2 linked regions of the Rattus norvegicus genome follow. The protein of the gene in region 1 interacts with the protein of each later gene in a biochemical or structural test. Links are inferred from orthologs where the notes say so. Each region holds a gene or a part of one and is shown in the gene's direction. Other genes may lie near its edges.

What was found. The genes of interacting proteins can lie anywhere in the genome.
Region 2: the proteins of Nxf1 (region 1) and Nup214 form a complex in vitro, tested with the Homo sapiens proteins (4 studies listed by BioGRID and IntAct). The link is inferred for Rattus norvegicus from reciprocal best matches to the Homo sapiens genes NXF1 and NUP214.

Annotation. Positions count from the first base shown.
Region 1 is NC_086019.1:215,081,854-215,090,063, forward strand, and holds the start of Nxf1 (nuclear RNA export factor 1), read left to right. Parts: upstream 1-2,709; 5' UTR 2,710-2,777; coding exon 2,778-2,805; intron 2,806-7,378; coding exon 7,379-7,562; intron 7,563-7,756; coding exon 7,757-7,910; intron 7,911-8,210. Other genes in the region: Stx5 (syntaxin-5), read left to right, coding at 99-258.
Region 2 is NC_086021.1:35,710,330-35,718,100, forward strand, and holds part of Nup214 (nuclear pore complex protein Nup214), read left to right. Parts: intron 1-779; coding exon 780-838; intron 839-2,682; coding exon 2,683-4,437; intron 4,438-7,390; coding exon 7,391-7,461; intron 7,462-7,771. UniProt on the Homo sapiens protein: Part of the nuclear pore complex. Has a critical role in nucleocytoplasmic transport.

The DNA of each region.
Region 1 (8,210 bases):
TACTTCTACATATTGTGATCAGCTTCCCATATCAATAAATGGATGTCTTTAACCTTCTTCAACCCAGTGTTCCTCTCTGTTTTATCTCCTGTTTCCAGGATTGACGAGAATGTGCTTGGAGCCCAGCTGGATGTTGAGGCCGCCCATTCAGAGATCCTCAAGTACTTCCAGTCAGTCACCTCCAATCGGTGGCTCATGGTCAAAATCTTCCTCATCCTCATTGTCTTCTTCATCATCTTTGTGGTCTTCCTTGCCTGAACCCTCCTCCCTCATTCTGAGCCACTCCATGGAGGGCCTGGAACCCTTCTGGAAGGACAGGTGGCCACTATTGCCACTGAGCCTGTGCAGGGTAGTTGGGAGAAAGGCCATTTCCTTGGAACTGCTAAGAATGGCCAGTGTCCCTGATTCCCCACCCTTGTCTCTGGCCACTCTGTCCTACCCTCAGGCCCATGAAACACACTGGTTCTGGATTTGGCCTCTGCTGTGAAGTGGCAGGGAACAGAAGCCAGCTAGGGCCAGTGGGGAGGTTGTCTCTACCATGAGATTTTTATAAACCCAGACCAGCCTCCCCTAAAGGTAACTGGCAGCAAGAGGAAACAATGCCCTTCCTTGCCTTCTGGAGAGTGAGGTGAGGAAGTAAAACTATCCCAGGGACCAACTTAATCATCTGGGTCATCTAGAACTTGACTGCCACCTTCTCCTCACCATGTGAGGTGGGGGGGGCTCTGAGCCCTACAGTTGCACAAACCTGACTTTGGCTACTGGTGACTCTCAATCTGCCAAACATGCTGCAGCCTGTTTCCTCCCAATTACAGCAAGACTGTCAGCCTCACTAGTGATGTTGTCGTTTCTGGGTGGGATCGTCGTGGGCTTCCGCAGCCAGCAAACCACTGCTTAATACCAGAACCAAAAGGGTTAAGTTGGTGGCTTTGACAGCCCCCATTGATAGGCAGAGCAGCTTTGGAGCTCTGTACCCACAACTCCCTCTTAAAAGGGAGTGGCCAAGTAACAACAGCACTAAATTAGAATTTTCCTTTGAACTGGAGCTAAGTGGACTCATTATTGGGTGTCAACTTCTAGGGCTGTCCCAAACAGTTTGAGCCTGTTTAACCTGTATCTTCAAATCACCTGGTCCTGATTTTTGAACTGAGTGAAGCAAGAGCTCTGCTGCTGGGTGAAGAGCATTTGTGCCCAGCTCCAATTTGTACCCAGCTCTTTGGCACCTTCTAAGATCCTGAGCAAAACCACTGCAAAATGGAGGTGACCCACCTAACACAGACCCTCAAGGGAGATTAATGAGTTGTTTTGTCTTTCTGATCTGTGTTAAAGTCATGCTCCGTGCCTACCAGTGCCCCATCTGATTCCCCTCCTACAGCAGCATCTGGGTCCAAGGAATGGAGGAGAGTCCTAGTCACACCAAAGGTTTACTAGAAGAGCTCTTGGGTTTGCCATCTAAAAATTTCAACCAGCACTTGGGAGTTAGAAGCAAGTGGATCTCTTTTATTATTATTATTATTATTATTTTTTTTTTTTTTTTTTTATTCCGGAGCTGGGGACTGAACCCAGGGCCTTGTGCTTGCTAGGCAAGCGCTCTACCACTGAGCTAAATCCCCAACCTCGCAAGTGGATCTCTTGAGTTTGAGGCCAACTTGGTCTACAAAGCAAGTTTCAGGACAGCCAGAATTATACAGAAACCCTGTCTCAAACAAAACCACTCAATACTAGCAACTTTCCCTACCTACCTAGCTAACCTGGGTTTTACCAATTAGGCTTCAGCATGATGGCCAGGGCCTTGGGGGTGAAGATCATAGCTCACTAGATTACTAATTTTGTTTTGAGACCGTCTATGTAGCCTTCGCTATCTCTGTACTGGCTATGTCGACAAAAATACTGGTACTAAGACTAAAGCTTTTTTTTTTTTTTTTTTTTTGAGGCAGGGCCTCTACAAGCTCTGGCTATTCTAGAAATTTCTATAGAGCTGAGACTGGCCTCAAATTTAAAGATCCACCTGCCTCTGCCTTCCAAATACGGGTTTAAAGACCTGCGCCACTACAGCTCGCCTGACGCTTTAATTAGGCAATTTGTAGAAGACCTACAAGGGAACAGGACAGGATTTCGCTTAATTCACACTTGGGTTTCACAATGGGCATGATACTGTGCCAGGCACGCTGGAGGAAGAAAAGTTGCGCATAAGTTAAGGTTCCTGTTCCAGTGGGGCTTACATTCCAATTTTCTATTTCGTCATAATCCGTCGTAGAGGCGAGAAAGGCTGGGAGGGCATAAGCCGGCGGCTGGCAAGGAACTGCGCTGCGACTTACACGCTGCCGGGATCCCACCTGCGTGGACTGTGATCCGTTACTCCCGTTCAGAGGCCAGGTCTCCATTCTTCTGTGTAGCTCTCGTCCCTGCTCCTGAGTTCAGGGCTAAAGCAGACCGCTCAGCTCCAGCGCAAACCTCAGCGCTGCGGGCCAGCGGAGAAGTAGGAAGGCGGGGCCGACCTACAAGCCATCGCGCCCCGAGCTCCGGCCGTGGGCGGGCCTCGGAGGGCCTGGCCACGCCTCCGAGCGGCCGCCCTGCTTCTGCGCAGGCTCAGAGAGCGCGTTCCTGCCCCGCGGCACCGCCCACATCCTGGGGACGTCGGCTGCGCGCGACGTGCTTCGCCGGATAAATGCGGTGGCGCCGGTCGTAGGAGAGCTTCTGTCCTGAGCGCCAAGGCGTCCGGGTGTTTGGTGGCGTCAGGTTCTGCGCCTGAGCCCGCCCCTGTACCTGCCTGTGCCATGGCGGACGAAGGGAAGTCATACAACGGTTAGTGCGGGGCCTCGGGCCGGGAGGCGACGCGGTGGGTCAGGGTGGGCGGCCCCGGCCTAGGCCTCAGCCCGGGGGCGGGAGGCCGCGAGGAGCCCTACGTCCGTAGGTAGCGGTGGCCGCGCGGGCAGGGGGCGCGGGACGCCGCGGGACCCGGGGACTCCAGAGTCGCCCGGATTCTGGCGTTGGAGGACCTGTGGCTCAGGGGTGAGGTGACAAGATTTCCTTTCAACTTTGAGGGTGGTTGATGCCTGTCAGTTCAGTTTGGCAGCCGGACTCTTCCTTTAAATGTGAGTCAGTAGTCAGGCTACCCTGGTGCCCTATTTTTTTTTTTTTTTTAAATACGATCAGTCTGTTCTTGCAGCTTGCTGCTTATTGTTTACCCAGTTTTCTAGCCCGCACACCTACCCTGACTTGTTAATTCATTGTGGTGGTTAGGACAGTATGACAGCTGAGGTTTGAATCTGAAGTTGGCTGTGCTAACCCCGAGTGAGTTAAACTTTGAGGCCTTGTTTTCCATCTCTTTCATGTGGGTACTTGTCTCCCGTGTCCCGTGTGTGTGTGTGTGTGTGTGTGTGTGTGTGTGTGTGTGTGTGTGTGTGTGTGTGTGTGAGAGAGAGAGAGAGAGAGAGAGAGAGAGAGAGAGAGAGAGAGAGAGATCATTTTATTAAGTGCCTCAAACACAGTGACTGGAGTGGGGATTTTTCAGTGAACCGTACTTGGACTGTCTCTTTAATGTATTCCTTTTTACTAGGGTCACTTGATATTAGGTATTAGATACTAGAAATTAGGTAGATTTCTTTGAAAGTTATGAATCTTTTTTTGTGCTTGTGTGGTGCTGATGACTTATCTATGCCTGAAAAATCTCTACCCAATGACCTTTTATTTTAATTCAAATATAATTGATCTCCTTCCTCCAGCCACTCACCTGTCATCCACTCCTCTCGCCAAATTCATGCAACTTGCTGAGTTCATTTAGTGTTATGTATTAGTTTGTAAAGCATACCATTTGGGATTGGCTAGCCATTTGGGGAGTTTGTCCCTTGGAAAGGCTAATTCTCCCTTATAGGGTCAGCCCAGGCTGGCTTCAGTCAGTCTTACTGTGTCAGCTTCCCAAGCTCAGCATTGCAGGCAGGCATGTGCCACCCACCATGCCTGCCTCACAGATGTTTACGGTTTACTTTTTTTTTTTTTTTTTTTTTTTTTTTGGTTCTAGGGTTGAACTTAAGGTCTGACAAAAGGTAAATAAATAGAACCAAGTGTAGTAGTACATTGTTTAAGGTAAGAGGATCAGAGAGGTTCAAGGTCATCCTCCACTACATACATAGTGTGCCCGGCTTTCTGTTCTCCCACAGAGCTATATTCCCATCCCTTGTTATTTTTTTGAGATGGTTTGCCAAGTTGCCCAGACTGACTTGAAGTTTTGAATTCTGCCTCAGCCTCAGTCTGGGTGATCTTTTTGAGTGTGGAAGGATAGACAAGCACTTTATCAACTAATCAGTATCCTTAGCCCTCCTTTTATTCGTTTTGTCTATATATAGGCAGACCAAACACTAAGAGAAACAGGGTTTCAATCCCAGTCTGGCCTTAAACTCTGTGTAGCTCAGATCCTCTTCCCTTAAACGGTGTACTACTACACTTGGTTCTATTTATTTATTTATTTATGTATTTGTTTACTGAAACAGTGTCTCAAAGTGTAGTTCTGAATGATCTAGAACACACTGAAAAGACCAGGCTGGCTTTCAGAACTCTGCCACTGTCTGGAATTAAGTTGTGGGTCACAATGTTTGGCTTCTTTCCCTTTTTTTTTTTTTTTTTTTTCTTTTTGGTTCTTTTTTTTCGGAGCTGGGGACCGAACCCAGGGCCTTACGCTTCCTAGGTAAGCGCTCTACGACTGAGCTAAATCCCCAGCCCCGCTTCTTTCCCTTTTTAAGGTATACTCTTAGCTGATCTGGAACTTGGATTCCTCCTGCTTCAAACACTAGTTATATTGGAGGACTCTAATGTGGAACCTGCACCAGACCCTGAATCTAGAAGTTCCTTGAGGTGTTTTTTTTTTTCCCCAAAGAAACTAGCATTTCCTAAATTCAGAGTGCAGAAGATGGTAGTTGTTTTTAAGAGACTTTACATCATATTTGTAAGAATTCTTTATTTTTCGAGAATCTCATGTAGCCCAGGATGGCTTTGAAAACTTTGTGTAATTGAAGCCTCCCCTTCCCAATTGCCAGGATTACAGGTGTTGGCCACAACATCTGGCTCTGTAACCATCAATTGTACAGCAAGTGGCAGATTTCACGTGGTTTTTCAGGGGTCTGGTTAGATTTTGGGGTTGCTCACACTTCCACATTCTACTCTCTGTAGGAACTGGTTTCTGGGTATTTTTGTTTTTCTTTTTTCTTTCTTTCTTTTTTTTTTTTCCTTTTCTTTTTTTCAGAACTGGGGACCGAACCCAGGGCCTTGCGCTTGATAGGCAAGCGCTCTACCACTGAGCTAAATCCCCAACCCCTTTTTTCTTTAAATTCTAAATTTTCTGGCAATTTTATACATATAATACACAGTGTATTGTGATTGTGTGCCCCTTTCATTACTCTTTTGTTTTTACTTATTTACTTTGTTTACTTACTTTATTTAATGTATAAGTGCTCTGGTGCATGTACACCTGCATGCCAGAAGGGGGCATCAGATTCCTTTATAGATAATCTTGAACCACTGTGGGATTTGAACTCAGGACCTCTGTAAGAGCAGCCAGTGCTCTAAACCGTTGAGCCATCTCTCTAGCCCTACTCTTTTTTTTTTTTTTTAAAGATTTATTTATTTTATGTATATGAGCACACTGTTGCTGACACACCAGAAGAGGTCATTGGATCCAATTAAGGGTGGTTGTGAGCCACCATGTGGTTGCTGGGAATTGAAGTCAGGACCTCTGGGAAAGCAGCCAGTGCTCTTAAGCCCTGAGCCATCTCTCAGCTCCCTACTCTTTGTTTTTAAGAGTTTATTTTTTTTCTGTGTCTGAGTATTTTGCCTATGTGTTTATTTTTCTATCATGTGTATGTCTGGTGCCTGCAGAGGCTGGAAGAGGACATTGGCTTCCCTGGAGTTAACTACAGAGGCCACTTCCATGCAGATATCAGAGCCCTTGACAAAGGAAAGATCTCTATAGGACATCAACATCAGGAACAAGTTATTGGAAAACCTAGGAATATTGAAAAATAAAAGGGTCAAGCATATACTCACGGAGACTCATTGCTTAAGAACACTTTCCAGAATACTAGCTTTGATTCTCAGCACCTACACTACAGTGCACAGCTGTTAGCTACTGTGTGGGTGCTGGAAGCCCATTCTGGGTCCTTTAGAAGAGCAGCTAGTGCTCTAATCATTGAGTGATTTTTTTCCCCCCCAGCCTCTAACCTACTGAGTTTAGTTAAGGTTGTTCATATGAACTTCTGGGGAGGCTCTTCCCTTCTGCCTTTTTTTTTTTTTTTCTTTTTCTTTTTCTTTTTTTTCGGAGCTGGGGACCGAACCCAGGGCCTTTTGCTTGCTAGACAAGCGCTCTACCACTGAGCTAAATGCCCACCCCGCAGCTAGTTTTCTTTTTTTTTTTTTTTTCCAGAGCTGGGGACCGAACCCAGGGCCTTGCGCTCCTAGGCAAGCGCTCTACCACTGAGCTAAATCCCCAACCCCCGCAGCTAGTTTTCTTAAGAACACTATTCCTAGCCCAAACACAGAGGCTTCCCAGAAGCTAATGGGAGCAGATGTGGAAAAAGAGAAACACTGGATCTGGGGGGAGAAAGGAGTTGGGTGGGGGAAGACTGGGAGAAGTGGAGGGAGGAGAAGCCCCAGTCAGAATATATTGTATAAAAAAAGAGGGGCTGGGGATTTAGCTCAGTGGTAGAGCGCTTACCTAGGAAGCGCAAGGCCCTGGGTTCGGTCCCCAGCTCCGAAAAAAAGAACCAAAAAAAAAAAAAAAAAAAAGAATAAGTAGGGGCTGAAGAGATGGCTCTGCTCTTCCAGAGGTCCTGAGTTCAATTCCCAGCACCAACATGGTGGCTCACAACCATCTGTAATGGGCATCTGATGTCCTCTTCTGGTGTATCTGAAGACAGCAACAGTATATTCACATATATAAAATAAATAAGTCTTTTTTTTTTAAAGGGATAAATAAAAAAAAAAAGGCATCTTACAGGGGGTGGTGGCTCATTTAATCCCAGCACCTGGGGAGGTAGAGGCAGGTGAATCTACAAGGCCAACTTGGTCTACAGTTAGTTCTAGGATAGCCAGAGCTACACAGAGAAACCCTGTGATGGCAGTGTGGTAAGTTATTTCTCCAGTGCCCTGAGGTACATTCTTGACCCTTTTCCAACATCCCTATAGTTTCCAATAACTTGTTCATGATATTGATGTCCTAGAGAAAGTTCTTTGCTCTGGCTAGGGCATAGGCATCTCTATGGAGGAAGCCTTTGTAGTTAAAATCTGTTTTTTCTAAGAGTACAGAGTACTAGAAACTGGTGGTTACACCAAGGTAACTAGGACCCCTCATATATTTACTAATTTCTGTGTCTGTTTCCATCTCCAGAACATGATGACCGTGTTAGTTTCCCACAAAGAAGAAAGAAAGGTCGGGGGCCTTTCCGATGGAAGTGTGGTGAGGGGAATCGTAGGTCTGGAAGAGGTGGTTCTGGTATACGGTCTTCCCGGTTTGAGGAAGATGATGGAGATGTGGCAATGAATGATCCCCAGGATGGCCCCCGAGTGAGATAGTAAGTGAATAATTGGTCTGCTTTGAATAGTGACCCACTGAATTATGTAGACCTGTTATTTATTGTCTTTGTCGTTTCTCGTCTCACCTTGTAAAGTGATACTTGACAGAATCAGTTTAGTAGCTGTAGTTTCCCTAGCAGGACTGGTTCATCTTCCCTAGTGTTTATGGAAATGTAATTCTGCTTCCCAACAGCAACCCCTATACCAGCCGACCTAACCGTCGGAGAGATACTTGGCATGATCGAGATCGGATTCATGTTACTGTACGGAGAGACAGAGCTCCTCAAGAAAGAGGAGGTGCTGGCACCAGTCAAGATGGGACCACCAAGAACTGGTTCAAGATTACAGTGAGTACTTGGATGAGTAAGGTGGTTCAGAAAACAGGACTGGACTCAGTCAGAGTGTTTTGACACCTGCCTCTAGCTCCTCAAATGTGTTTTCTCTAATGTTTACTCACTCAACAGTGAAGTATACTAATCTATCCTTTCCTCAAATGAATATCTTAGAACATCTAAGAACAGAGTTAAGGAAGGGAGTTCAGGAGGATAGGCAAGGCGACACATGGAGGGGAAATCTGGATGTAGAGTCACACTCAAGCTAAGAGTGACTCTAGGAGACCGTGGAGTCTCTGGGAGCCAAGTAAGGCA
Region 2 (7,771 bases), on another chromosome or scaffold:
GAGTTCAAATCCCAACAACCACATGGTAGCTCACAACCATCTGTAATGGATCTGATGACCTCTTATGGTGTGTCTGAAGACAGCTACAGTGTGCTTATATGTAATAAAATAAATAAACCTTTAAAAATGAAAGGGAGGAAGGAAGGAAAGAAAGGTGTGTGATAGGGTTGAGCCAATGCCCTAAGTAGAGGCAGGTTCAGATGTCCTCTAACACTGAATCCTGGCATTATGCACTGAATTAGATAGGCTTATTTTTGAGTTATTCAGTGGAAAATCTGCATTCCTGCTGCTGTTAACAGTCTGTCGCTCTGTACTCCTGCTGCCACCTTCCCTGCACAGCAGCACTCCCGCCCACATGCTCCTTGACTTAAGGCAGGTGCCCAGAGATTCTCCCTCTTCTCCTGCTCCTTGACTGCCTTTCATTGTACACACTCACTCGGCAGTGTCTGCTCCAGTGTCATCTGCACAGGCCTAGTGTGTTTTTACTGCTGCACTTTACTTTTTAAAACACAGGTCTTCCCAGGCCTCCTGTGGAGAACCCAGCCATCCAGCCAAAGCCTTCCTGCTGCTGCTGCTCCTTCCTGCCTCCTCTCCAAAGTGTGTGCCCTGCTTGAAGGTGCTGGACACCTCTGAGATGTGTATTTTAACTCAGCTGTTGCTGATCACTAGATGTGAATTCTTCAAGGGCATATTGTATGAATGATTATAAGGAGGAATCTTTAAAAGCCAATGCTGTGTTAAGTTTGCTCCGTTTTAACTCGTCTTTTTCTACTCCTCAGGACCTTTACTTTTGGGACAATCACACCAGCCCCATCTTCTAGTTTCACTGCCACACCAGGTACAGTCCCGTGCTGCATTGGTGTTCATTCGTACTTCCCTCCTGGAAGAACCGCTGAATGGGAATGTGTAGGGTGGTACATTGTAACTTTGTAGTACAGTCAGGTTGGTAGTGATGATGTTTATCAGAGACACGAGAAAGGGCTGAGAGCGGCTTGGCAGGGCGCCTTCCCAGCACACAAACACCCTGGCTTGAATTCACAGCAGCAGAGCCACAGCAGTGTTTAACCCAGAGCTCGATATGGGGCTGCTGAGGGGGCTCAGTGCCCGGGCCAGCCCTGCCCTCTGCCTGCCACATTCTCTGTGACTTGCAAACACACACAAATAAAATATTTTAATGCAATAATTTTTAAAGAATCTGTTGTGAAGGAGATCTGTTTACATAACTATAAAAAGGGAAAAGACTTGCTTCTCAAAGCCTCGTTTGCTATAACATTCTAATGTTACATGCAAACTTGGTGGACAATATACCATGGAGGTAAAAGATCAAACCTGGTCCTAAACACTGGTCCACATACCTGTGCTAGGAATCCAGACCCACCCAAAAGAGAACAGTTTGTCAAGTTCCTCCCAGCTTTATCTAAGTAATTAAATATATTTTTGTTTTATTTTACTGTGGCATGTTTTTGTTAGGAAATTGTGGGATATAAAATGTACGATGGAGTTTCAAGTCACTCGGTAGCAGCTACTGCATTTGTGCTTTTCTTTGCAGAGTTTTGTCTTTACCTGGCTCTCATTAACTTCATGTCTTCTTGTCACCTTTGCTGGACTTGCTGACACAGGCTTGGAGTCTCAGCTACACAGAAGTTGAGATAGGAGGCTCTCAAATGTAAAGCCTGTCTAGACTACAGAGTTAGTCAAGGCCAGCTGGGGCAACTTAGCACTGGACTCCTCTAAATAAAATAGAAAGGACTGGAAGGTGGGTGTAGCTTTGGTACACTTGCTAGGCATAGGCAAGACCCTGTCTAGGGGTCAGGGAGTCATGCTAGTGACTCACGGTTCTCTCCCATGGCCTTGCTATGCTTTTATCGTCTGTCTACTCTTTTTAGTGTGTTTTTGGACTATGCATGTGATAAATAAGACATCCATCATCTTAGGTTTCTTAATCAACAAGCCTTTTCTATGTGTGTGCTGGGAATAGAACCTAATGCTTTGTATTTAACAAATCTTTTTTCAATTTTTTATTATGAGACATGGTGTCTCCTTTACTTTGAGAAGCAAGTCTTTAGGAAATAGTCAGGATAAGATGCAGTGATCCTACATTAACTCCGGATCAGTACAGCAGTGGGTGACAACCCAGTGCCGTAAGCAACATCACCAGTAATACAATGCCATGCTCAGTAAGGCCCTGGTAAACGCTTAATTGTAGTAGAAATTACCATCTACGGGTGACTCTGACCTTGAACAGTGAAGGGCTTCCAGTCTTGGTCCAATTGGGCTATGAGGATTGTTCATAGATTAGCTGGTGCCCACAGTGGGAGGGAAGCCATTGCCCAGGGCACTGTGTTGAGCGCAGCCTAGCAAGTAGCACAGGTAGGTGCTGTTGTACTTTTCTTTGGGGAAAATGTGTCCGTTTCATGTATCCTAGATGTCACGTGTTGTTGTGATATAGTGATCATAAACAAAATCTTCATTCCTTCCCCCTTGAGAGCTGACTCTGTCAGGGCTAACGCTTCTGTGCAGAGCAAGTGGCCAATCCACCCTTTGGAGAGAACCCTGCTGTTAGAGCCATAAGTCTCTTCCCTGACTGAAGAAAAAGATTGCCTTAGAGGGGCAGTCAGTGGAAGTGCAATGAATTCTATTCTGCTAAGTCCAACTCTTTTCCTGGTTTCTTTTTCTTGCTAGGGGCAGCACCCCCCACTAAAGAGTCAAACCAGCTTGAGGCGTTCTCATTTGGCGGGGGAGGCAAACCTTTTTGTGAGACCATTCCTGGAAACCCCCCTGCCACGGGACCCCCATCAGCACCCAGCACTTCTGTAACAACTACGTCTCTGGAAGACTCTGCTCCAACCAGCAGCAAACCTGCAACTCCTGAAACTCCTGTGTCCACTGCCTCTAGCAAATTGGAAACTCCACCATCCAAGTTAGGAGAGCTTCTCTTCCCAAGTTCTCTAGCTGGAGAGACGCTAGGGAGCTTCTCAGGACTGCGTGTTGGCCAGGCTGAGGAGTCTACAAAGCCCGTTAGTAAGGCCTCCTCCACAAACCTGGCCGGAGCCCAGCCAGCCAAGCCCTCAGGGTTTAGCTTTCCTGCTGCTTCCGTGTTAGGGAAGCCAGTGGAGCCCAGTGTGACGTCCTCTGCCCCAGCGGCACCAGTCTCAGCTCTGAGTGCGAGCACTAGCAGTTCCTCGGCAACTGTCTTTGGCAGTGTGCCCCTTACCAGTGCTGCACCTTCCGGGCTCATGAGTTTTAGTGGGGCCTCTTTGGCTAGTAGCAAAGCTAGTTTCTCATTTGGAAACCAACAGACTAGTAGTGCAGCAGCAGCAGCAGCTACCCCAGCATCCACCTCAGTTGCCCCTTCCCTTCCAGCATCTTTCCCTACTTTGTCATTTGGTGGCCTCCTGAGTTCACCATCAGCTTCTTCCCTGCCTGTGTCTTCTGGTAAGATCACAGAGGAGGCCACACCACCAGCTGTGCCTGACAAGTCAGACCACAGTGAAGTGTCAGCATCAACACCCTCACTTCCACTACAGCCACCGTCAGCCCAGCTTCCCCAGGCATCTCTGCAAACTTCTGACCCTGTCAAAAAAGAACCTGTTCCTGCGCAGACCACAGACAGCAGACCATCATCTTCTGCCAGCCTTGTGGCATCCACAGAATCCACTCCAGTCGCCCCAGGGGGCCCTGATAGCAAGACAGAAGCAGTGTCCCCTGCTTCCACCTTTGCAGGGCCTGGGCCGGCCGTGGTTGCAGCTGTTCTCCTAGGAGCAGGCTCGGCAGCCAGTGAAGCTTCCGGTACCCCTAGTACCTCCAGCACTGTCTCCAGCAGTACCCCAACTCCTGCCACAGAGACAGCTGTATTTGGGACTGCCACTTCTGGCTCCTCAGTCTTTACACAGCCGCCTGCTGCCAGTTCGAGCTCAGCATTCAACCAGCTCTCCAGTAACACGGCCACTGCACCCTCCGCCACCCCCGTGTTTGGGCAAGTGGCAGCCAGCATAGCCAGCACAGCCGCTGCCACGCCACAGGCCAGCAGTTCAGGATTTGGCAGCCCTGCGTTTGGTGCTTCGGCTCCTGGAGTGTTCGGACAGACAGCATTTGGGCAGTCCCCAGCCTTTGGGCAAGCAACAAGCAGCCCTGCGAGTGGCTTCTCCTTCAGCCAACCTGGGTTCAGCTCTGTCCCTGCTTTTGGCCAGTCTGTCTCCTCCACCCCCACATCCACCAGTGCCAATGTCTTCGGAGCCACCTCAAGTACCAGCAGCCCTGGTTCCTTCTCATTTGGACAGGCTTCTACCAATACAGGAGGGACGCTATTTGGCCAAAACAACCCTCCTGCTTTTGGTCAGAGCCCGGGCTTTGGGCAGGGAGGCTCTGTGTTTGGTAGCACCTCGGCCACTACCTCTACAGCAGCACCTTCAGGGTTTAGCTTTTGTCAAGCCTCCGGTAAGAATTTGCGGAACATTTTGACTTTGTTCTCCTCTGTGCTATTTAAAGCATTTATAACAAGTCCCCACTGTTATAATTAAACGGGAGGAGCTGGGTGTTGTAGTGCATGCCTATAATCCTCACCTAGAGGGCAGAGACAGGAGGATCAGGGGTTCAAGGCTCTTGGGTACATAATACATTCAAAGCCATCCCAGGGTATATGAAATCCTGTCTCAAAAACTAATAATCCAAGATGAAGGAGGGTGCTTGGTTCCCGTATGGTAGGACCTGCTTTGTCCTGATTGGCTGCCCCCCGTTGCTCAGTATTGCTCTGATTCTCTTCCTCAGCAAGCTCTCTACCTTGCTGACCACAGACTACCAATTTCACAGGTTGAAAAAGCACACCTGTTTGTTTAAGGCCACAGCAAGTAATTTAACTCTTAATTACAATGTGTTTTTGTAATTTGGAAAGCACATTAGAGACCCCAAAACTGTCAGACTCGGGTAGTCTGACCAATGGTAGATGGTGCAGGTGCGAGAGTAGGAAGGACCAGGTCTGCCCATTGAGTTAATTGATTGCTCTGCGGATAGTTTTAATTTTTTTTTTTTTTGATGCCATCTTTCTTGTGGGAAGCAGGGATATTGCTACTTTGAATAGCAGTTACACATACACAAGGCACACACACATTATACTATTTTTGAAGAGAAAACTGGATGCTTCATTCTGTATCCGATCTTAGCATCTACTTTTACTTAATAAAAGTTCCCAGTGGACATGGTAATGAGGTGAGGTCCAGTTTTGGCCTCTAGTGGTTCTCTCACGAAAGGTAATTCTTGCCAGGTGGTGCTGGCACACACCTTTAATCCCAGCACTCAAGAGGCAGAGGCAGGAGGATCTCAGGGAGTTCAAGGCCAGCCTGGTCTACAACTGGAGTACCAGGACAGCCAGGGCTACACAGAGAAACCCTACACGAAAAAAAGCAAGACAAAGAAGAGAGGTAATTCTTTACAGTTAGGCCCTTGGAGAGACACAGTGTCGACGGCTTCTTGGTAGACAGGATTGCACATAATTGCTTATTTATTTTTTCAGTGATAATTTGAAACAACTTGTAATTTGTTAAAAGGAAATGTTTCCCTTCTTTTAATGAGTGTTAAATTCCTACCAAAACAACTATAAAGACACAGTAGGCAGAGAAAACGACTCTGAACACCACCATCCCACCCTACCTCTGTCCCATGCCCTGAGGCTGTGCAAACAAGTGACCCATCTGGGTAATGGGCATTTAATGGGCAGGGAGAAGGCCTAAGACTCAGAATAAAATTTTGCCATTGCTTGTCCTGAGCATTGAGGACAGGAATAAAAAGTCTGTGCAACCATCAGTGACCCAAGTCGTCAGTGAGGCTGATAAATCTGAGGCTGAGCAGTCAGCAAAGTCGGAGCCTCCTGAGGGTCTGGTTTAAACACAGTGCTTGGGTGCACCCTGGGGCCGCATCCAGGACGAGTTGAGGAATTAACGTTTGTCTGTTCTCACCCCTCTAATCGGCCCCTTAGTTACAGTTGTGTATCACTTGCCTCACTTCTGGTGATGCCTGCCCGAAGATCATCCTCCCTGGTGGAATCCAGGGCTTGAGTTGTAATCAGGGAGACAGACTCCTAGGGTAGGTCACCGGAAAGTACTCTCGTTAGCCAAGATCGTGAGGGCGCGCTACCATGGCAGGTCCCACCACCTGGTAAGAGAGAAGACTTCATAATTTATGTTACTTTAAAATGCTAACAGTGAGGCAAGGGCCTTTCACCTGGCCCTCCGCATGGATGGGTTCTGTACCTGCAGATGTAGCCTGCCATGGATTGAACTAATAAGGAAAAATCTGTACTGGCAGTGTACTTTTTCTTGTCATTATCCCTCAGCAGTACAAAGTAGCAGCTGGTTGACATAGTCTCTCCAGTATACTGCAGTGTACCATAAGGCATCCCCAAATGATGGAAGATAAGGGGAGGCTGGACACACGGACTCAAACACCACACCACGTCCTGAACGAGACTGCTACAGCCTCAGATTTTATATCCTCACAGATTCCTTATGAATACCAAAAAACAGCTGTGTTTACATAGAATTTTCTCCATTTCCTCAATGGGGAAACATTTTTTTAAAAATTGTTAATATATTTATTGACTTTTTTGTGTGTGCACATGCATGTATGTAATAATGTATTTTGATCAGAATCACACACAAGTCTATCTCCTGTCTTTTCTTCCTCTCTGGAACCCTTCTTTCCAACAACCCCCTCCTGCTTTCTGTTTCTCTTTTAGTGACTGAGTTTAATAGTTTGATTAACCTTTATGAGCATAGGTATGGGGTTGCTTTTACTGGATCACAAACAACTTACCCATAAATACACTTCTGAAGAAAAATGACTCCCCTGCTCCAGTAGCCATTAACTTCCAGTAGGTCCTCAACTCGGGGTAGGGCCTTATGTGTCCCTCGCCTTCCAGTCTGGACTGTTGCAGGCAGGTAATCATGGCTTCTGTGAGCCCACGAGCACGACAGCCCTATCATGTTTAGAAAACGGTTTACTCTTCCTTCTGACAACCATGCTGTGAAATCCTTCTACCCCTTGTTCTCTGTCTTCCATGGTTTCTGGGAGCCTTAGTCTAGCTTAGGGTAGGACACCTGACAGTCACTTGGTCTCAGCAGCTTGTTTACGTTCCTCCTGTGGAGCAGGCCTCCAAGCAGAAAGTGATTGCTTGCTTCCATGCCTTCATGCCTCGGCTGCATTGTAGACACATCTTATCCAGGGGGTTCGTATGGAGCATGTAGGATACGCTCACCCTGGAGAAGGCCAGCGATGGCTTTTACACCTTCATAACACATCTAAAGGCTGTGGGTGTTTTGGTTGGGTTTGGGTTTGAGCTTAATTTTGATGTTGAAAAGATTTCTCCAAATTGAATCTCTGTCTTTGTGTTTTACAGGTTTTGGGTCTAGTAATACTGGTTCTGTGTTTGGTCAGGCAGCCAGTAGCGGTGGGTCAGTCTTTGGCCAGGTAAGTGTACATGACTGTCTCTATTGGTGTGAGCATCTGTCTAGTTTTTTCCCAATGTAATTAACTCAGTTTATGCTCAGGGATCCAGGCTGTCCTGGAACTCACTCTGTACTGTAAAGTAGGATGGCCTCCAACTCAGAGATCCTCTGTTCTGCCTTTGCCTCCAGAATGCTGACATTAAAGGCCTGCACTACCACAGCTGGTTCCACATTTAGTTCTTTAACTGCAGGCCTCAGATGCCTTTAAAGTGAAGAAGACTTTACTGCTGCTTAAAGAGAATCCCAGTGCATGAGTCATTCTTTGGCAGTAC